Linked DNA regions of Drosophila melanogaster. Changing the gene in region 1 together with any one later gene gives a genetic interaction. Each region holds a gene or a part of one and is shown in the gene's direction. Other genes may lie near its edges.

The links. Genes that interact genetically often act in the same process or in processes that back each other up.
Region 2: of Prx2 (region 1) and PPO1, changing one suppresses a phenotype caused by changing the other (phenotypic suppression), as found in Drosophila melanogaster (one study listed by BioGRID).
Region 3: of Prx2 (region 1) and gfzf, changing one suppresses a phenotype caused by changing the other (phenotypic suppression), as found in Drosophila melanogaster (one study listed by BioGRID).

What each region holds. Positions count from the first base shown.
Region 1 is NC_004354.4:13,326,799-13,333,939, forward strand, and holds Prx2 (peroxiredoxin 2), read left to right. Parts: upstream 1-3,025; 5' UTR 3,026-3,166; exon of another isoform or gene 3,167-3,232; intron 3,233-3,600; exon of another isoform or gene 3,601-3,881; intron 3,882-4,220; exon of another isoform or gene 4,221-4,323; coding exon 4,324-4,908; 3' UTR 4,909-5,196; downstream 5,197-7,141. Other genes in the region: IP3K2 (inositol 1,4,5-triphosphate kinase 2), read left to right, coding at 550-799, 868-1,136, 1,353-1,463, 1,590-1,967. UniProt on the Drosophila melanogaster protein: Thiol-specific peroxidase that catalyzes the reduction of hydrogen peroxide and organic hydroperoxides to water and alcohols, respectively.
Region 2 is NT_033778.4:17,885,290-17,891,937, reverse strand, and holds PPO1 (prophenoloxidase 1), read left to right. Parts: upstream 1-1,964; 5' UTR 1,965-2,037; coding exon 2,038-2,393; intron 2,394-2,450; coding exon 2,451-2,586; intron 2,587-2,655; coding exon 2,656-3,150; intron 3,151-3,224; coding exon 3,225-3,858; intron 3,859-4,015; coding exon 4,016-4,268; intron 4,269-4,327; coding exon 4,328-4,526; 3' UTR 4,527-4,718; downstream 4,719-6,648.
Region 3 is NT_033777.3:7,143,950-7,152,683, reverse strand, and holds gfzf (GST-containing FLYWCH zinc-finger protein), read left to right. Parts: upstream 1-1,715; 5' UTR 1,716-2,053; coding exon 2,054-2,518; intron 2,519-3,051; coding exon 3,052-5,006; intron 5,007-5,305; exon of another isoform or gene 5,306-5,353; intron 5,354-5,591; coding exon 5,592-5,739; intron 5,740-5,800; coding exon 5,801-6,370; 3' UTR 6,371-6,804; downstream 6,805-8,734. Other genes in the region: Sas-4 (spindle assembly abnormal 4), read right to left, coding at 1-1,276; CG2656 (uncharacterized protein), read right to left, coding at 1,486-1,633, 7,103-7,761, 7,824-7,868; CG14610 (uncharacterized protein), read left to right, coding at 8,428-8,448, 8,503-8,734.

The sequences.
Region 1 (7,141 bases):
TCGGCAACGGGATCGGGATCGGGTGCCGCATCCCAAGCCAGCACCACCGGCAAGAAGGTAGGATGGGTAGTCCGATAAAGATATAGGATCTATCTCAGGATCTAATAATATAGTTTAAGTTCTTTGAAAGGGTTTGTATACATCATACATTATATTAGTTATTAGTATTCGACTTGAACAACTTTAAGTACTAAATACAACCAAATTTATAGATCAAAAACAAGTTGGTGTATCCACGTGATTTTTCCGCTCGTGTTTTCACATGTGATCGAGTGATAACAACTCAGCTGAAAAATCAGGGCACAAAAATGGGTCATTAGCCAGCTGTCTCATGCAAACTGTTTCATTTCCAATAAACAAACAAAACTTAATTAGTGGAATGCATTATTAGCGAAATGTAGCAACAGTCTGTAACATTATTATGAGCTATTTACTAATTGATTTAACGTATTATTCTCGCAGACTTTGCACACTTGTATTATAAGAATTAAAAATGCTGATTTTTCTAGCATCATCTTGAGTTAATCGATTTACCCACGATTCTTGCAGAGCTCCGGCTGGCGAAAGATTCGCAACATCGTTCAGTGGACGCCCTTCTTTCAGACGTACAAGAAGCAGCGCTATCCATGGGTTCAACTGGCCGGACACCAGGGCAACTTCAAGGCAGGTCCCGAACCGGGCACCGTGCTCAAGAAGCTCTGTCCCAAGGAGGAGGAGTGCTTCCAGATTCTCATGCACGATCTGCTTAGGCCCTATGTGCCCGTTTACAAGGGTCAGGTGACCAGCGAGGATGGCGAACGTGAGTGAAACGAATTGTGATTATCCTTGCTAACTAATCTAACTGATATAATCGTGTGGCACAAACAGTTTACCTGCAGCTGCAGGATCTGCTCAGTGACTATGTGCAGCCATGCGTCATGGACTGCAAGGTGGGTGTGCGCACCTATCTGGAGGAGGAGCTGTCCAAGGCCAAGGAGAAGCCCAAGCTGCGCAAGGATATGTACGACAAGATGATCCAAATCGACAGCCACGCTCCCACCGCCGAGGAGCACGCAGCCAAGGCGGTGACCAAGCCACGTTACATGGTCTGGCGTGAGACCATCTCCAGCACGGCCACGCTGGGATTCCGCATCGAGGTGGGCTTGAATTTGAATTGAATCTATTCCATTTAAACTTGAATAGCCAACCCAAAAAAACGAAACCACTAAATTAACATACGACTATGTGAATGAGAAGCGTGTGCAAAGTGCCAGGCTACACATTTATCCTTAAAGTCAAATGTAAACATTAATTATTCATTCAGAAAAGTTAATGGAAAGCCATTAATTTAATCGTCTAAACATCATTCGCAGGGCATCAAGAAGAGCGATGGCACCAGTTCCAAAGATTTCAAAACGACGAAGTCACGCGAACAAATCAAGTTGGCCTTTCTCGAGTTCCTCAGCGGTCACCCACATATTTTGGTGGGTATTCAAATTAGCCAAGCATGCCCAGTTGAATGCCATTAACTTGGGGATTCCCTGCGCTTGTCATTACTTTTTCTTTTCTTTTTATTTTATTTTCTTTTCTTTTTTTTTTTTTGCATACAGCCCCGCTACATACAGCGTTTGCGAGCCATAAGGGCCACCCTTGCGGTCTCGGAATTCTTCCAGACCCACGAGGTTATCGGCAGCTCCCTGCTCTTCGTCCACGATCAGACCCACGCCAGCATATGGCTAATTGATTTCGCCAAGACGGTGGAGCTGCCGCCGCAGCTGCGGATCGATCACTACTCCGCCTGGAAGGTGGGCAACCACGAAGATGGCTATCTCATCGGTATCAACAATCTCATTGATATCTTTGTGGAGCTGCAGGCATCCATGGAGGCGGAGGCGCATGCGCAAGCGCAGGCGGAGGCCATTCAGTCACCCGTTTCTGGTTCTGGAGGAGATCAAGCGGAGCAGACGGGTGAAGAGAGCAAACCCTAATGGGAAATCCATACATTTCCACACGGAGGTTTGGGGCTGGGCCCCGGAGACAAAGACATTTCCAATTTCCGAATCGATTAATCCCCAATTCCTAGGCTTAGTTATACATTTTTTTTTTGTTTTTTTCTAACAGTTTGCGTACATTTAACCCCTTAAGTTTAAAATCAAAGACTGAAATCACAATATGCATACACATATTTTTTAATATATACGATATACGCGTACATATACATATATAGAAGATATATAGCCTGGCCTATATGTGCTGCTGCTGCTGCTGTAGTGTAATTTATTTATCCAAAACAAAAAAAAAAACAAAAAAATTCACGTTTGGCGAATCCTAGAGATACCCGAATGGCTGGAGATAATACCCACAAGGCAGTTGCAACTGTCGATCGTAACGATACGAAAAGTAACTAAGAAATGAACACACCCAACACGCAACAAGAGCTTAGACTAAGTTTTTAATATAATGGTTATGCGACTACCTACTAAATACTACTAATTGTGCACTATTAAATTCAGTTAAAACAAAACGAAAAAACGAAAGTACTTGTTTCAATTTATTTGTGGAGATTTGTGGACCACAGAATAGCATAATACATAGAAAATATTATTTGCGCCAAAGTGGAATAGAAATGGTTATTATAAACAGGAATCAGTTCTTTAACTACATTATTTATAATGGAAGAATTAAAAAAAAGCGCGGTTTTTTCATTTTGGCGGCAAAATGACGACCAGTGTGACCGTTAAGCTGGTGTGCCCGAATTATACTAAAAGTACTGCTCAGTACATATTATTACACATTATTTATTATTAGTAGTAGTACTTGTTTCCAAGTCTATCAAAAGTTATTAAGCGCTACTATCTTAAAACTTGAATATTAAAACTTACCATTTAAAATGTAGAATCCACTTTTGAAAAGCACGCCAATAGTTGATAGATGGCGCTTTAAGCACTTGCTAAAAAATATCGATGAGCAGCGTTAATCGGCGCTGCCTATCGCAAGCGGTATCCGTGTTGCGGCAGCCCTGGTCGACCAGCATTCGCTTAATTTCAATCCATTCGCGAATTTCAACTCGTGCCGAAAGGTTTGTTTGTGCGAAAGCTGAAGCTGCGAGAGAACGAACAAGAGGAAGCCCACGCGGAAGTCAAGCAATTACCGAGAATTACTAAGAGAAAAAATATAACTGTTTAAAGTGAGTGTTCCTTGGGCGATGAACAGGTCGCTCATTCTGGGCAAAGTCGGCGAGAAATTGCGGAGCGTAAGATTAGAAATTAGCATCGCTGTTGTTGCTGTTGTTGTTCTTTTTCGATGAGCAAAAGATAATGATGTTCATGTTCGGTCGGCAGATTCGAGATTATTTCACAACTTTTTGCACCGAGAGCATAGTTTTTTTCTTCACATTTCGTTCTTTTTTTTCCACTTTATTGGCACGTCCGTCGCACACACTTACACACACACGTACACGCGAAGAGCCGGCGAAAAAAAGGGCACAAAAATGAAATCAAAACTAGAGGAAAATATTTGCCAATTCAGAAATAAGTTTGTGATTTGTAATTAATTCGCATCCATTACATGAAATACGCGAACGTGCCGACAGTTCAATAAATTCAATCGCATAAATGGGAGCAGTCGAAAAATTTGGCTAATTTATTATTCCGGGTTTCTTCCATTTCGCTTCGCTCGGCGGCCATTTTGTAGAGTTCAGCTTTTCTACTCTCCTCTTTGATCTTTCCAGTTTGTGGCGAAATATCTGGAAGTCAAGGGTAATTGCCCTTAATCGTTAGTAATTGCCGCCATTAGAACTCCGATTTATAGAGACTTTTAGTATGGAATTAGCATCAAGTTAACTACTTTACAATTGAAAACCAATTGGAAGTTACATAGGCAAGATTAAAGGTTATAAAATAGTAAGTTTACTACAAAATAGGTATATTGCATATGAGAAATTTCAAGAATTTCGTAAATATTTCCAATTTTCATTCTAAGGGCCTAGCATAATATTGATTTCCCATCATAATACTTTAACAGTATCTATTCATATTAATTTCCATGATTTCACTAGCCTCTATAAATGCAATTTTTTTAAACAACGGTTATCTTGTAATAATCCGAGGTTAGAGTGATGAAATTTTTGTTTTTTGTGGGGCCCAAAAAATCTTGATAGATAAGATAAGATGCGTATCGGTCGAAAGAGGAAGTATCAGTCACAGCGAGATTTCAAGGGGACCATATGAGGGATTTACAATTGAAGTTCTCAAAAGAAGGCGACTAAGTTCAGAGCACTTTGTTGTTAATTATTCGCTAGTTTGAAGAAACATGTCTCTAATTCGCCATCCATTCATTGAACAGATGCCCCAGCTACAGAAGCCCGCTCCCGCATTCGCCGGCACCGCCGTCGTCAACGGTGTTTTCAAGGACATCAAGTTGAGCGACTACAAGGGCAAATACCTGGTGCTTTTCTTCTACCCGCTGGACTTCACCTTCGTGTGCCCCACCGAGATCATTGCGTTCTCGGAGAGCGCCGCCGAGTTCCGCAAGATCAATTGCGAGGTGATCGGTTGCTCCACGGACAGCCAGTTCACCCACTTGGCCTGGATCAACACGCCAAGGAAGCAGGGTGGTCTGGGCAGCATGGACATTCCACTGCTGGCTGACAAGTCGATGAAGGTGGCCCGCGACTATGGAGTGCTCGATGAGGAGACTGGCATCCCCTTCCGCGGCCTGTTCATCATCGATGACAAGCAGAACTTGCGCCAGATCACCGTCAACGATCTGCCCGTAGGTCGCAGTGTGGAGGAGACCCTGCGTCTCGTCCAGGCCTTCCAGTACACCGACAAGTACGGCGAGGTCTGCCCCGCCAACTGGAAGCCCGGCCAGAAGACCATGGTGGCCGATCCCACCAAGTCCAAGGAGTACTTCGAGACCACCTCCTAAAGAGGCTATCTGTTCGCTGAACGGGGCCGCTCCTGGCGAGTGGGAGTGGATTCGAATCGCAAACCCCCCGTTCAACTAAAACCAATACATATACTACATTATATATCCTACACATTAACCCTAGAGCGTAGAAGAAGAAGAAACTGTGAGGCATCTTTCCCTGCAACAGCGCCACCCAAAAATAAGATGATAAACACCTGCAGACGCTAAGCGGAAAGTGATTATTTTTTACGTATATTTTGTGTGCTTTTTTTTTTTTGTAATTCACCACAATAAACGATTGTACGGAGCACGTGGGTCTTTATCAGGGGGTGGCGGGCGGACTTTCGCCTCAAACCTCTGGTCTTATCATCCGGGGAAACATTTCCACAAAAGAAAAAAAAATGGAAAGAAATAGCAGCGGGCGACTTATCACCGTCTGCGACTGGCAATTGCGAAATTGCAAATAGACTGAATCAGAATGCCAGGAATGCTTCGCTGAAAGAAATGACGAGTGACTTGTGCACAGTATACAAATCTACATGTGATGTCTAATTAAACCCGGTTAATAATCTGTTAACATGTACTTGTAGTTACCTATTAGTTGTTCCACATATTCTGTAACTTTGTTACTTTGATGTGGCATTTTATTGCAGTGCAGACAACAGCTGTTGGATTGGTGACACAGTAACCGAGTGCACAATTCCCGTTTTGCCACCATCACCACCCATCCATTTCAATGTTAAGCGCAAGCGAGAGTCCTCTAGTCGACGTGGATGTCTCGCATATTAAACGGGTCTTGACTCTACCGGTATACCCAGATATATATGTATATAAATATATACGATCTGCCTGATTTGAACCCCCTTTTGTGATCGCAGCGTTTCAACTATTACGTGTAGTTCGCGTCGCATCCAACGAGGTGTCTTCGGCGTATCGGATCGAATCTCTTTCACCAGAACCAGTTCCTCCGGGTTATATACATACATACATTTGTACATTTTATCTGGCTATCTACATATGTACATGTGGCCCAGCAGCTGCGAGGCAGTTTATTTACTGCCCGTGGAACCTACTGGAAACAGAACCCTTTCTCAAAGTCAAGTGGTGCGATCTGATCGCTGCTGCGCACGTTACGTCGTTAGTTTTTTTTTGTTTGCCATTTTGTTTACTGAATCGGCCGGGCATAACCGACTTGGATGGCTCATAGCGACCACATTGGGCTCGCGCCATTATCATTATCAGTCTGCTAATTGCGCCCGTTGCCAACGGATACGATTACTCCAGTTCACACACAATGGTGGCCTAGCCATACATAATTGGTCCCTTACAATGGGACCTTACTGTTCGCACTTCTTGGTAACGCGCACAAAGAAAATTTCCAATTTCCAAAAAGAAAGGGCTTTAAAAAAAATGCATCAGGTACAACATGGCGTATGCGCAATATGTTGTTATGTTATTTCATTCAGGGATTCATTCTGATCCCTCTTATTAAGTGGCCTTCTTATGGCAAAAGTTGCAGAAAGAGCAATCCATCTTCGTGATGCCAGAAAGTGAGCACTTAAAGTTCGTTTCTACCTGAGCTCGCTTGCCAAGCTGTACAGAAAAACGCTCTATTCATATTGTTCATCAGTCGCAACAACAGCTGCAAAAAGAGATTGCTTCTGCTGAATCATGGCGGCCAAAGGCAGACCAAAGCGGCACAAAAGCTAGACAGCTACGTTTCTACAATAAATCCCAAGTCGGAGCCAGATTTCTATGCCGGTGACGGTTGACTCTCTATTGAGGGCGTTGCAAATGTCATTGTCGGTGACTTTCGATGGCTGTGATTCGAATTCACATAGCCATTTCCAATTCCCGGGTCCAGATCGATGATTATTGGTTGGCTGAAAAACGCACTTGCCATAATGAAAACCCAGCCGAGTTGCTGTTGCAATGGAAAATGGGTGGGAAATGCCTGTGATATTCACGATTGGCCAATTGTCGGCAGTTCGATGTATCCGGAAAACAAGTACATGCATATACAGCTGCGGGAGAAACAATAGCGATAACTACAGTTCAATTAAAAAAAAAAATAATTAATTGCTCTCTGCTTAACAATTAACTTACCATTATGATTGTCAAAAGTGCTTGGAAGCAAAATAAAAATATTTCAGGTTGAAGGTCAAATATATTCAAATATTCGTTCTTCTGATTTCCCGGCAAAAATTATCCGTTTTTTGGCGAAAAAATTCGTAAAAAATTGTTCAAATAT
Region 2 (6,648 bases), on another chromosome or scaffold:
GAGATTAAACCAACAAGACCCACTCAATTTCGACACCCTTTTTCAAACCCTTTCCCTGTTCATGAAAGCCCACCCACATTAATGGAGCTGATAAGTTGCAAACAGATTAGAGCCATGAAACTTTAATCAGTTTGGTGCCCAAGTGGGCAAACAATTGAAAGCGTAGCCCACTCGAAATTTTGATAACACACTGCCGCAAATTCCTGCGGTTGGCCCACAACTAATGAATAGTTTGGAATGTTCTTTGGGGCGGAGGCATCATGTGTTTTCGAACCTGGCCGCAGAGTGCTTAAGCCAAAATGTAAAATTTAAGCCAGCGGGTAATTAACGCATACCCACAGCTCATTTTATGGACCAGACTTTCGCCCATAAAGCCAAACAGAAAGAGTGCTTGGCGCCTTTTACAAACTTGCGTGGTTTTTAAGACTTGTTGGTAAAAGTTTGGGTTTTTTCCTTTTTTTTTGTTCTGTTTCGCCGGTGAAAGCAGGCTCTGCACGTGTCCTGGCCTAAAGCTTTTGCTTTGGCCCATTTTCATTCTAATTCAATTCACACTGCCAAGTTCGCAGAAGCACACACTTTTCCACAATTTATAATTAATTAAAGCAAGTTTGTCTTTTGGGCTGGAATCTGGAGCACATTTGCCATGGCTGTCGTTGAATATTCAATGAAAAATTACATTGCTCGGATAAATGTTTGCGTGCAGTCAAGTGTTTTCTAGGAAAAGCCAACTTCAATATACTCTGCAATATATTACTATATTACATACATAAGTGGTATGCATGGTTTAAAAGAATCTACAAAAAATCGTATAAAATATTCTTGCCTAAGTTATTTCAAACAAAAATTCAATTGATGGTAGTCAAATTTGGCTTACATTGCTTACCGTACATAGTTCATAAACTGAAAAGATGGTGTATCTGCTGGAACATCGACATTAGCAAAACAAAGTCGAGCAGAAAAGTCATTTTCATGTTGTTATGGCCAGAGTGCAGAAATTGTGAAAATTCATCTTTTCAATTTTCGCCCGAAACCCGCACATTTATGCAAACTTGTTACGCTCGTTTTTGTTGCTGTCAATTTCACAGATTAATGCGCACACATTTCAACGCCAAAGTCGGCAGAAACATTTATTATTGACAATGGCCAAAAGTTTGGCCATTCGCTTTGCTTTTTGGCCAACATCGTTCATTTGGCCAGACGGCGTAGCGACAAAAATTGATTTACAGTATAGATATTTTAATCATCCAAGCTCTCTTGCCAGTTAGTTCTTAGTTACATTCAGCTACACACTGCCATTTCAAAAACCAAATTTATGGGCCATGTCGAAGGACGAGCCCTCTGCTCCAAGCCAAATTTATGGCCTCCCATTCGGCGATGGGCGGTTCTTTTTAAGGGGGCGTGGCAGCCTGTTGAGCAAGTATTCGGTGTTATTTCTATGCGAATAAGAAGCTTTTCCGGTGGCCTTCGGCTTGTTTACTTTGGGAGTTGTATTTCGCGTGGTCGCAAAAAGGTTTCTCGGATACTTTTTCGGCAAAGACAAAGAAATTCAATTTAAGCTTCCTACCCCGGAACTAATAACTCTTCAAAAAGTTGAAAACAATTAATTGGTTGTGGGTATACATTAGGCAGTGCAGTATTGAAAAAAAATCAGTATATGTATCTAACAAGCTCAATACAGTTTCACGTTTAACAACATTCAACTGAAAATCAACAATGGTATATTATTTTATGCAAGCAATTAAAAGTATTTCTCTTATCATTTTGCGGCTCAACAACTTTTGCGGTATTGCACTTTTTGCTTTTTCAGAAGCTATCGACTAAACCACAACGTTTGGATTTGTGAGAAAAAAGGCTCGACCATTGCAGTTTTGCGGTTGGGACTTGATAATGAATATTTTTAAAAATATTATTTTTATATTCGGACTGCTAGTTAGCTATAAAATGAGTTCGGCTTCCTGGGAAAATCACAGTTCTGCAACTGGCTTCGTTGAGTGAAGTTAAAAGTGTAGTTGAAAGTGTACATCCATAGAGAAAACCATGACTAACACGGATCTGAAAGCCTTGGAACTTATGTTCCAGCGACCCCTGGAACCGGCATTCACCACTCGTGACTCCGGAAAAACTGTATTGGAACTGCCCGATTCCTTCTATACGGATCGCTATCGCAATGACACCGAGGAGGTGGGCAATCGATTCTCTAAGGACGTGGATCTGAAGATCCCAATTCAGGAGTTGAGCAACGTTCCCAGTCTGGAGTTCACCAAAAAGATTGGTCTCAAGAATCAATTTTCGCTGTTTAACAATCGCCATCGTGAGATCGCCAGCGAGCTGATCACCCTCTTCATGAGCGCACCAAATCTCAGACAATTCGTGTCGCTTTCCGTTTACACCAAGTAAGTACTTGTACTAAAATAAATATATATGTATTGTATAATGTATTAATTTTTTAGGGATCGTGTGAATCCTGTGTTGTTCCAATACGCCTATGCCGTCGCCGTTGCCCATCGCCCGGATACGCGTGAAGTGCCCATTACCAACATTTCCCAGATCTTTCCGAGCAACTTTGTAGAACCTTCCGCCTTCCGGGTTCGTTTAAGTTCTTCTTTATTTGACCAATCAAAGTCTTTAATGGTGTATTTATAAATTTGACCACAGGATGCCCGTCAGGAAGCTTCTGTTATTGGAGAGAGCGGCGCTCGTGTCCATGTGGACATTCCGCAAAACTACACGGCCTCGGATCGCGAGGATGAACAGCGCCTGGCGTACTTCCGTGAGGACATCGGTGTTAATAGCCATCATTGGCACTGGCACTTGGTCTACCCGACCACCGGACCCACGGAGGTGGTCAACAAGGATCGTCGTGGCGAGCTCTTCTACTACATGCACCACCAGATACTCGCGCGCTACAATGTGGAGCGCTTCTGCAACAATCTGAAGAAGGTTCAGCCGCTGAACAATCTGCGTGTGGAGGTTCCCGAGGGCTACTTCCCCAAGATCCTGTCCAGCACGAATAACCGCACCTATCCCGCCCGAGTGACCAACCAAAAGCTGAGGGACGTGGACCGCCATGATGGGCGTGTGGAGATCTCCGATGTGGAGCGCTGGCGTGATCGCGTGCTGGCTGCCATAGATCAAGGATACGTTGAAGATGTGAGTTGGGCCCGTTTGGAATATTGAGCATAGGTCATAGAAAGCACTAGAAATTTTTATTTGCTAATCCATAGTCTTCTGGCAATCGTATACCATTGGACGAAGTTCGTGGCATCGATATCCTGGGCAACATGATTGAGGCATCGCCAGTCCTATCCATCAACTATAATTTCTATGGCAATCTACACAACGAGGGGCACAACATAATCTCCTTTGCCCACGATCCCGATTACCGTCACTTGGAGGAATTCGGTGTGATGGGCGATGTGACCACGGCCATGAGGGATCCAATCTTCTACAGGTGGCACGGATTCATCGACACGGTGTTCAACAAATTCAAGACTCGCCTGAACCCGTACAATGCCGGTGAGCTTAACTTCGATGGTATTACCGTGGACTACATTGAGGCCAAGATTGGCAAGTCCAATACCAAGGCCAACACCCTGTTGACCTACTGGCAGAAGTCGAGTGCCGACTTGGCAGCTGGCCTGGACTTTGGACCAACGACCGATCGCAACATATTCGCCTCGTTCACCCATCTCCAGAATGCCCCCTTCACTTATACATTCAATGTGACCAATAATGGAGCCAGACGAACGGGTACTTGCCGTATCTTCATCTGCCCCAAGGTGGATGAGCGTAATCAGGCTTTGAATCTGGAGGAGCAGCGACTGTTGGCCATCGAAATGGACAAGTTCACAGTTGATTGTGAGTAATAACTGTATTTCTTAGTATATATATTTATTTAATATTTTGGTATTTAAAAAGTGTTTCTTTCGTACAAAGCTAGCCAGTGATTTTAGCTTATACTTTTCCCTACTGACAACCTCCTACGATCTATTAACATACTTTAATTAATCCCCAGTGGTGCCTGGTGAGAACACCATACGCCGCCAGTCGACAGAGTCCTCGGTGGCCATTCCCTTCGAGCGCTCATTCCGCCCGGTTGGAGCAGACTATCAGCCCAAGGCCGCCGATGAGTTGGCACGCTTCAAGTTTTGCGGATGTGGGTGGCCACAGCATCTCCTGCTGCCCAAGGGCAATGCCCAGGGAATGGTCTTCGACCTGTTCGTCATGATTTCCGATTACTCGCAGGACTCCGTTGAGCAGCCCAAAACGTGAGTGCTATAAACCCAATTTCCCATCATCAGCTGACATTCTCCTTGTCGCCCATTAGACCCAACGATGCCTGCAGCACGGCGTACTCGTTCTGTGGTCTGAAGGACAAATTGTATCCTGACAGACGCACCATGGGCTATCCCTTCGATAGGCGCCTGCCCAATGCCAATCTCACCGAATTGGTCGGTGCCTTTGGCAACATGGCCAAGACCGATTTAAGGATTGTCTTCAATGATCGTGTGATTGACAAGGCCTAGATGATTGCTCCAACTAACAGAGATGATTTTAAGAATCAATGGAAACGGACTTGAAAACGGAAAACTCTTGGAATCATATACACTTTTTGCTATTAACTTATAACTAACCAAACTTGTGCGCGTTTATGTGGTGTTTTATCGTTTCTAATTACACTCTACAAAAATAAATGTATTGTAATATGTGCAGGCAGTAATACAAGCGAGTATTGACACCTAATGAATGCAGTGGGTAGATAGCTTTAGCCAAGAAACTTTTGGTAAGCTTATAATGTATCTAATAGTCCCAATTTACCACCCGGGGAGACCAAAGAATTTTACAGATTTTTATTTATTACTTTTTCAAGGCAAAACAGAGATTACTCGTTTTCGTTGGCCTCAAGCAAGCCAGCCATGGATATGATAAATATTTACTGATATAAGAAATCCTCGTCTAGGAATATTCGCATGCCAAATATTTGCTTAGCAATATTGAATATTATTTATAGCAAAGAAATACAGATACACAGCCGCAGAAGGGCGTTTATTTGTCATAGACAGACACGCCCACATTTGTGCGAACTAATCCTATTAGACTTCAAAGCGCCTTGCTCGACAAACTTTGCGATTGCCCATGTCCAGGAGGCCTTGGCGTTCCATCCACCCACCAAGTGTTGAGGGAAAATAGAAAAAACATCCTCGCAAAACAGCCAACAAAATCGCTGCACGTGTTGCGTTTATTAATTTTTGGCTTTTACCAAGTCGACGGCCTTAATTAAGCATCCACTAGATGTGGATAAAGTTCAAGACTTTGGATTAGCGCAGCACAACAGCTGTCTCAAACAAATTGATTTTTAATAGATTTTTATGGCTGCCTTATCTGGCGCCACATGACGTATACGTGATGAAATTGAGTTTCCGACTGCAATCATCAGAGGTGGAAGGCATGTGCAATCTCTAATTGGATTGATTTGCAGAAAGAAATGTAGGAAAAAGTTCCAACTCATGATTATGTACCTGCGGAGCACGCGTACGTCTAAAATACACACATATTCAAATCAAAATCGAAATGAAACTCATAACAACAACAAATAAAACGGCTACATTTTATATTATCTGCCGCAAATACGAGTTCAATGCGCCCAAACAAAAAACTGAAAGCTAATGTTGACAAGACACGGCCACGCAATTTAATCTCTTTTGTTGCCTGGAACAGGACTTTTTCATTTTTATTTCTTTTCAAAGTTGCATATTTTATGACCGTATTTTTGTGTGTACTGCAACTGGTGTAAACTTTCAGCAGAATTCAAATTAAATTACAGCAGAGCGGACAATTTGCGGAGAAGGCGTTTTTGGCTTTGAGAGGATTTAAGTAAATATCCCCAAGGAAAGTAAATACACGTTTGAGCGTTATAAAAGGTTATTATGGTCGAAACGAAAGGCAAACGAGAGATGGGTGAGTTAGACTGGCCCACAGCTTTTTTTTTATCACTTCTTCCTTTTTTTCAATCATTAGATCCTGGCCACAGGACTTTCCCACTCACTTTCCTTGCATTTATTTATGCGGGTAAATTGTAGAAAAATTAAAAAAATAGACAAAAATACGGAGCAAGGCAAAAAGTTGCCGAGTCCCTTTAATTTATTTTCGTTGCTGCGGGGCAAGAAATTTTGCTGTTCTTCCCTCTTTTTTTTTCTGTGGCAAAGCAAAAAGCTGCCACTTAGGCATAACTTTGGCTTTAGCTTTGGGTCGTTTTTCCCATATGCTGTTTGCCATTAATGTTGTTGCTGAGTTTGCCTCCGTTTTTGGTTTAAGGGTTTGAAAAAATATTTGCCCCGGTTACTTGGCATATTAGCATACTTTTTCCCACCCAGCGCACATGTGTGTAATAATTGTAAATAATGGTTTTGAAAAGAGTTTGGCGCTGATTAGGGTAACAAATGTTACAAATGTTAAAAGCATTAGTAGTAAGGCAATGTTCCAATGCAAATTTAAACACATTTTTGTACACTGCAGTCGATCTGCGCAATTGATTGCTTAATTTCTGTGAAATTTCAATTCAATCAAATGTGAAGCCCATTAAAAAGTCAATCAGACGTGAATGCAAAGCAGCCAAACAAATTGACGTAGAAGGCTATTGTGTAAACC
Region 3 (8,734 bases), on another chromosome or scaffold:
CGTCTGACTCCTTGCTGGGACTTGACTTCTTCTTCTGTTCCAATGCCTGGAAGAGGGCGGACTTGAACTGTTCAAAGAGCTGAATATTGGAGCCGTCGTTGAGGCTGGTGGCATCGGAGTACTCGTGCGTGTCATTGGAGTCGGAGAAACGCACTCGCACTTTAGTATTCCCCACCTGGATGGGTGTCATTGTGAGGGTCTGATCGCTGGACGGTTCGGTGTCCTCCTCGTCCCCCTCCTGCAGTTCCTGCACCAGCATCTGGTCCACCTGTGGCTGCAATCGCATCTGACGCACCTGCTGTGTGACTACAATGTGATCGGAGTCATCAGCTACTCGGCGACGCTGATCTTTGCGCGCCATAAAGGTTCGAATGCAGCTGGAGTTCATATCAATGTTTCCCTCAGTGGCCTTCTGCTCGAGCAGCTCGAATATGCTTACATTGCTGTCATCTTCCACTCGGATTTGAGCAGAGCGTCTTTGGATTTGCGCTGGCTTTATACTCTGTGTGTCCAGCACCTTGGCCCAGCAAACTCCTGTCATGGGACTAGCTTCCGAGGAGGCTTCATCATCGGCATGAGTGGTTTGTCCCGCCCTGCTCTTCTGCTCTACAAAACGAACTCTGGGCGAGGTGCTCGAGGCGGTTGTGGAGGACGCATAGGAAGACTTTAGATCTGGAGTGGAACTGCAGGCGTTCTTGCCGATAAGCATCTGCTGAAAGCGCTGCTCGTTGAGATCGTCGAGCTGTGCTGAGGGTTTGGGAGCTGGTGGAGGCGCAGGATTGGGAGGTGACTTGACTTGCTTCTTGAGAATACCCTTTTTCATTTGAGGCGTGCGGAACTGAGGGTGGGCATTAGCGAACTTGTATCGCGGCAGGTTTTCCAGGCGCAGCTGGTCGGGATTGATCTTGAACCGCTGCTTTAGACCTTCGCCGCGACGCAGAAAAGGGCGTTTAGGCTTGGCCGGCTGGGGATCAGCCATTGAAATCTCTGGCTCGTGCTCGTCCGGATCCGCCGCGAGTCGCGGCATTTGTATAGAGTGCTCCTCGTCCCACTCCTCCAGCACACTGTTTTCATGGCTTTCCGTTTCCTGGTGTAGCAGTCCCAGCATTTTGTACATATTACGTTGCTCCAAGCCGAGCAAAACGCGGTGATTGGACTGCCGCTCCTGCAGCAGCCGCTTCTGCTCGTCCTGCCAACGACTAAGCGCCGCGAGACGCTGTGCGATGGCCTCCTGGCTCAGAGGCATTCCAACAGGACTTTCGCCAGCCTCCTGCATGCTTTTATATTCGTTCTTAGAATCGCAGTTTTGTTTAGACGCCGTACGCGTAGGGGAATTTAAAATTACGGCAGCAGTTGTCCAACACTGTACCAGTGGCAACTCTGCGGTCAGGGATGGTGCTAGACATGCATTTTGATTAGATTTAATTTTTTATTAAAAATAAAATATTGTACATTTTCTTAAGCAATATGAAAAATTGATTTTTTTCAATCCTGATCCCCTTCCTCCGGTTCATCAAAGTCCTTAACGTTCACGTCTGCATCCTCGCCGTACTGCAAGATACTGTCAATTTGTAGCAGAAGATCGCCCACGCTCTCCTCGTCCTGGGAATCCAACGGGAAAAATCTCACCAAACTGTAAGTGAATAATAAACATCAATATTTACAATTTTTGAACGTCACAAAAATAACCGATTTTGATAAGTGGCAACGCCACCGCATAGCTCGCAGCCCTCGTATCCCACACAAAAGCATTTTTCGACGCGTCGCAAAAGAAAATGTGCTTGTGCAATTAAAATCGAGTGATAAAAACCAAATATAAACCCTTTTAGTGCATCAAACTGCAATAAATCAGTGCGTTTGGGTAAATGGCCGGCGTTTGCAAAAAGGCGCGCAAATAGTGAGCTGACGAAATACCACCAAAAATCCCAACCAACAAATCCCAGGCAGCCAGCCACTAAAAAAATCGCCTAATTTACGATACAAAACACTTTTCGAGGGCAAATCGAAAAACGCTGAATTCCGGGCTCGGGCCAAACAGCGCACCAATTCAAAAATGGAGACGCCCGTCGAGGAGCACGGCATGGACCTGACCAAGGTGTCCGTGGTGCGCTCCGCCAAGGGCGTGGATATGCTCTGCGTGGACGACTATCTGTACCACTTCGATCGCATCGGGCGGAATAACACCTACCGATGGCTGTGCAACAGGCGCAAGGACAAGTCCACTCCCTGCAAGTCCCGCATCTGCACCATGCTGCCCGATCCGCTGGACAAGACGCGCCACGTCGTCGTGGACGTCGTTCTGGCCCACATCCACCCGCGCTGCAGCGATCACGAGGTCAACAAGGTGGCCCAGCGCAAGCGGCTCTCCGTAATGATGATGAACGACGCTTACAGCACCACCCAGCCGAAGAGAGCACGCCTGTACGAGCGCGCCAACGCCGGCATGAATCCGCCGGAGTTCATCTACGGAAGCATCGACACCTCCACCGTGGAGGCCTCGTTCCAGTTGGACTTTGAGGTACGGCCCCAGGCCAACTGTACCTGGCTCATGCCCCTGAATACTCAACTCAACCATTTATTTAGAATCTAGCTGGGTCTCTTTTTCAGAAAGAACATTGATATTAATATTGATTCATATTTCGGTAACCACCGCTACTTTGAACATTTGATAATGTAAAAAAAAGGTTAATTTGCTCACCTTAGTAATGAGATGGTTTCCCGCCAATTTGTTTTTTATATTTATTTTCCTATTTGCAAATCCACCGGCTAGGCCGTTAAAAGGACAATAAATACCAAAGCTTAATCATTTATGATTCAAAAAATACTATATATCTCCAAACGAAACTAAATATTAGGGATTTTTGAAAAAAATGGGACCCAATCATTTTATAACATGCACCCTACTGAAGGGAATATCCAAGGGAATGAAATACTTTTGAACTTACACTTAACTTAATTTTACACCTAAATAGATTTCCCATGATGTACCATTTTTAATTCATATACAATTTTACAGCACAAAAATGACTAACACGAACTCTAATTCCGCAGGACAAGGATCGTGTGTACATGCTACGGCGCCGCGACGGCCGCGTGATGGTCTGCATCGACGGGCATCTGTACTACCTGGCCGGGAAATCCTACAAGGGCGACATATTCCGATGGACCTGTGTGCGCAAGCGTGACATTGAGTGCACGGCCAGGATCTGCACGGAGGCGACTTTGGCGGGGGCACATCGCCTGCATGCCGTCGACACGGATGCGCACATTCATCCGCACTACTCGGCCGCCAAGCTGATGCACATGTTTTCGAAGCACCAAATCGTGTTGGTGGAGGACGAAAATACCTCTGATGTGCTGGCAGAGTGCCCCAATCTTGAGTACTTCGATCCGGAAAACACTTTCGACACAGCTCAGCGGGGCGATGACTTGGAATCCATAATAATCGAGGAGTGCGAGGATAACTACGATATATACATGAGAACGGACGGAAGCCAAGGTGGAGGGATTCAAGGCAGCGAAGAGCTCGAGAGCCAGGAAGGGGATGACGAGTCTTCGCTGGTGGACCCGAAAATGCATCACAGCTCCAAGTGGCCAGCGGCATTCGACGTAATTGCCAACTATCTGCCGCCGCCGAGCCACAATCCACTCACGGAAACCGACTTGACCAAGTTCACATTTCTACCATCGGCCAAGGGTCGAAAGGTGCTGTGCTTGAGTCAGCATCTGTTCCACTTCGACTCGCAAAGCAGGTCAAACGGCCACATGTTCTTCACATGCATAAACCGACGCGACAAGGCCAACACTTGTCACGTCCGCATTACCCTAGACCCGGTTGAAAACGGACCAGTAGTGCTTCGAATCAATGGGGAGCACACGCACAATCCGGATATAAAAGAAATTGCTCGCCGGCTAAAGCAGCAGGCCAAGCTGGATCAGGACAATGTGCACAAGCTGCAAAAGATCGAGCACTCTGAAGAGATCAGTTTCGAAAGCGATGAGGGATCGGCCAGCCAGGGAGGCGATACCTTCGAGGCGGAGAACAGCGTCGACGAAAGCTACGGACACATTGACACGCGTAATGTGGTTATGAAGAAGGTGATTAGCATCGATGGCGCCATCAAAATGGAACCAGAATCGAAAGCGAACATGATAGTGCAGTACCTTAAGGACGGAGCGAACAACATAAGCGCCAAGATCGAGATACTGCCCGACGCACTAGATGAGCTCGACCCACATTCACACACTGCTTATTCATCCACACCTTTGCCGAAAGTTCGACAGCCGCAGATCACGAATATTCGTAGGCGACGCGATGTAGCAGAGCCAGCAAAGGGCGCCCAGCCGGACATGGACCTCTCAAAGATTTGTACCCTGAGATCTGCCAAGGGGCACGAACTGCTGTGCGTCGATGGCTATATATACCATGCCAAGAACCGTGGCGTCATCTCGCGCAACTATTGGGTGTGCATCAAAAGCCGCGATCCGGACATCAATTGCAAGAGCCGCATCTCGACGGCCACCCAAAAGGATGGCTCTATTCGTGTGCTCCGTGTTTACAACAGTCATAGCCATCCTTTCAGCGAGGACGACATCAAGCGGAGACTCTACAACGAGATCAACAAGAAGAACAACAAGAACCTAAAGTTTCGGCCGCTGCACTTTATCGGCAAATCGTTGGATCAGATTCAGCAGGAGTATGGTGATTTGGCCATCGAGCGCCTGAATGTGTCTAATATCAGCAGCGACATTGTGGTTCACAAGAAGCCTCGAGTTAGCGGCAGTAATAATAGCAGATCTGCATCATTATCCGTGTCCCACAGAGCGGACTCTCACCATGAGGAAGATGATGTTGTTATCGTGGAGGAAGAGTACCAGGAGCAAGAGGAAGGCGTCGAAATGACCATGGAGGGCGATCAACAATACATGGATGTGGACAACACAGATGGGATCATTGAGGTTGTCGAGGAAGTAGCCGATGAAATGGAAAGCTACGGCTCTATTGTGTATGTATACCATCCCGAAAGAAAGAAAACATAACAATCTTTTTAAAAAACGTACTTGCATGAATAAAAACAAGAACACTAACAATGAGATAGAACTTTTGGCACACTTACAACACCTACCCTTATTCGAAACAAATATTCATAGCCTCGATTCATTATAAAGAATTCGTGACTGTTAAGGGTCGACAAATTAGGCAGAGTATTTGCGAACCTATGTTAGCATAATGCCTTTCAAACGCAAAACAAGTTTGGATTGTCATTGAAATGAACACCTGCAATATCTGGCAAGTTAATTCAGCACATCAGTATGGTTTGAAAGCTGCTCGAACGTACAACATTAATTTTGGGTTTGTTATTATTCAGTATTTAAAAATATTTCTTAAAAAGCCCAGAAATTCTTTGACAGAATTTTTGCGATAGAATACACACTGAATACAGACAGCATCAGCAATAATTAAACCAAATATATATATAGATATATAGAAAATAGACAGTAGAGGCAAATTGCTTTCACTTTTAAGCTACAAGCAAACCGGTCGAACAAGAGACAAATACACAAAACTAACGATCGCTGTGTACCCACAGACCCATCTACACAATGAAACTCTACGCCGTATCCGATGGTCCGCCTTCCCTGGCCGTTCGCATGACCCTGAAGGCCTTGGATATACAATATCAACTCATCAATGTGGACTTTTGCGCCATGGAACATCGCTCTGAGGAGTACTCGAAGGTATGTGCATATGGAGTCATGAATTTGATTTTCAAGTCATTAAAAATTCAAATCATTGCAGATGAATCCGCAAAAGGAGATACCCGTGCTGGACGACGACGGTTTCTATCTATCGGAGAGCATTGCCATTATGCAATACCTCTGCGACAAGTACGCGCCGGATTCAACGCTATATCCGCAGGACGTCAATGTGAGAGCAGTAATCAATCAGCGGCTATGCTTTAACATGGGATTCTACTATGCCCCCATATCCGCCCACAGCATGGCGCCCATTTTCTTCGACTACAAACGTACGCCCATGTCGCTAAAGAAGGTGCAGAACGCACTTGATGTGTTCGAAACCTATTTGCAGCGACTGGGCACTAAGTACGCGGCAGGCGAGAACATAACCATTGCAGACTTCGCTCTCATTTCGGCCACGATCTGCTTGGAGGCAATTAACTTTGACTTGCACCAGTTTACGTTGGTGAACAAGTGGTACGAAACCTTCAAGGTGGAATACCCGCAGCTGTGGGAGATCGCCAACAGCGGCATGCAGGAGATAAGTGCGTTTGAGCAGAACCCACCGGATATGTCACACATGGAACACCCATTCCATCCGACGCGCAAGTCTATGGGCCTGAAGTTGTAGATTGTAGTTTTAGAACTTAAGACCCTGCCAGCAAGGGAAGTGAAAAACGTTCTCCTTTTAATTCTTGTGAAATATTCGATATATATATATATATTGATATAATAATAATAACATAATTATATAATAATATATAATTATAGGTTGTTTTGCCTTCCAAATTGACATGAACAAAGAAGTTCAGAAGTCTAAGAAAAAATAGTATTAAAATGTGCCCACAAAATTTTATGCGATTGAAATTGCAAGTCGAACTGGAGGTCAAGCTTAAATTTTTTCAACAAAATACATATTTCCATTATTTTTGTCTTATTAGAAAATATTATCATTTCTTGCTAACAATTTGAAGTTATTTTATGGCAAGAATCCCTTTAAATCAACCTTGGTTATTATAAGGACTAATCAACCTGTGTTTATCATTTAAAATAAAACATTTCGATAAAACCAAAAATGTGTTTCCTTTGATATGATTGTATTAAAAAATCTTCTGATAAAAAACCTACCGATGTTAATAAAATCATAATGTTGGTGATTAAATCGAACTAACTAAAACGAAAATATTAACAACCATAGTCGACTTTTTCGTGTATTTTCTGCGGCTAATCGCTTACAATAGTCTCTCTTCAAATGTAATTAACTTTTGGATTTTTTGGACTGTAATTTTTGTAAAATGCTCAGTAAAACTCCACTCCGCTACCACCGATTTAAGTATCAATTAATTATAATTGATTAGCTCACCTGAAATCCTCAATTAGCGCGCCAATAGCCTGCGTAAGCTTTGCGTATTTCTCGCCAAAACCAGTCCCGATGGTCAGCTCGCCCATCAGACTGTGGGCATCCGGTTCCAGGTACATCTCCAGCTGTTTCCGCGCATCGCTGCTCAGCAGATCCACTTTGGTCAGCACATTGATGTGCGGCTGCTCCATGTTGGCCATCACACTGAGCGCGGCCATGGTGCCGGAAATGAACTTGGCCCCGTCCACCATGAACTGCGAGTCCAAGCAGAAGACGACGCATGTGCGGAAGTTCCAGGACTCGAGCAGTTCCACCAGCTGTCTGCCCATCTTTAGGTGAGTGAAGAGCTCGATCTGGCCGGGCATGTCGAACAGGATGTAGTCATCATCCGGCTCGCCCACCATCAGCTCGTTCTCGCCGCCGCAGAGCTGTTCCTTCAGCCATTCCTGGTTCTCGATCAAGAACTCCAGGCAGAAGATGAGGCCGCCGTTCGGTCCGTAGTGCAGCTCTTCGTCCTCCATGGCATCGTCCAGGTGGATTAGATCGCGAATGTCCGTCAGCGGGTTGTAGGTGAAGTGCTCTGCCGCCGGATCGAGGTTCACCACCTGAACATTTCTCTTGCAGTCCATCGCATATTGCTGCATTAAGCTGCAGTACGTCGACTGGGGAGAATATTGTGTGTTAGATTAATGGCGCGCATCGGCTGCCGTTTTTGTGGACATACCTTGCCACTGCCTGCCGGGCCCACAATTATTTGGGCAAACCGCATGATAATGAGTCGTAAGTTATTTTCAGTACCTAAATTCCGCAACAAAACAAATTCTAATGTGAGGCATAGCGTGCGCCAGCTGTAGTGCTGCACAACGTACAAACTCTGCACGATTAATATTCGCCTCGAATAGGTTGGCAGCACTACATGTGGCCCGCCAAGAATCTAAAATTCAAACAGCATTAGGTACGCGAAAACGTTATACAGTAAATGGAAGGAACAATAAGGAAGCAGCTTCCCTTAAGTTTATTTGAAAGCTCTTATTTATTTCGATTTATTTTCCTTTAAATATGCCTGAAACAAGTATTTCTATATTATATTAAGTTAATACTTAGATTAACTTCTTTAAAAACAATAATCACACATTTTTGTAATTCTAAAATAGATGATTATGAGACTATGATTTGATGATTCAATGCGCAAAGTTTATGGCTCCGAAAAAATTATGAGTTATAAAAGATAAAGGTCCGAAAATTTAGTAAGCTGAGCAGCCCACGAGACTATAAAAGGGGCAGCCTATACACTTCAACTGTTTTTATTTTGAAATTATTACTCAAGCATGGCACCCAGTTCGGAAAAGGTTCGCTAATGAATTACTAAAAATGAAATAAATAAAACTTTTACAAAACTGCAGCAAAGTTATGAAGAACTAATGGAGAACATGAAACTTTGCGAGGCGGAAAGGATATACGCGCTCTCGAACAGTGTCGGAAGAATCCTGGATGACGCGGAGGCCCGAAAGATCCTAAGGCACTTCATGAAGAGCGAAAATAAGTCCATGCAGTGCGTGGACATCTATGAGAAGTGCGCAGAGTTTCTTGTGGAGCACCCGAAGTACGAGTCCTGCCACTTTGAAGTCCTGGTCC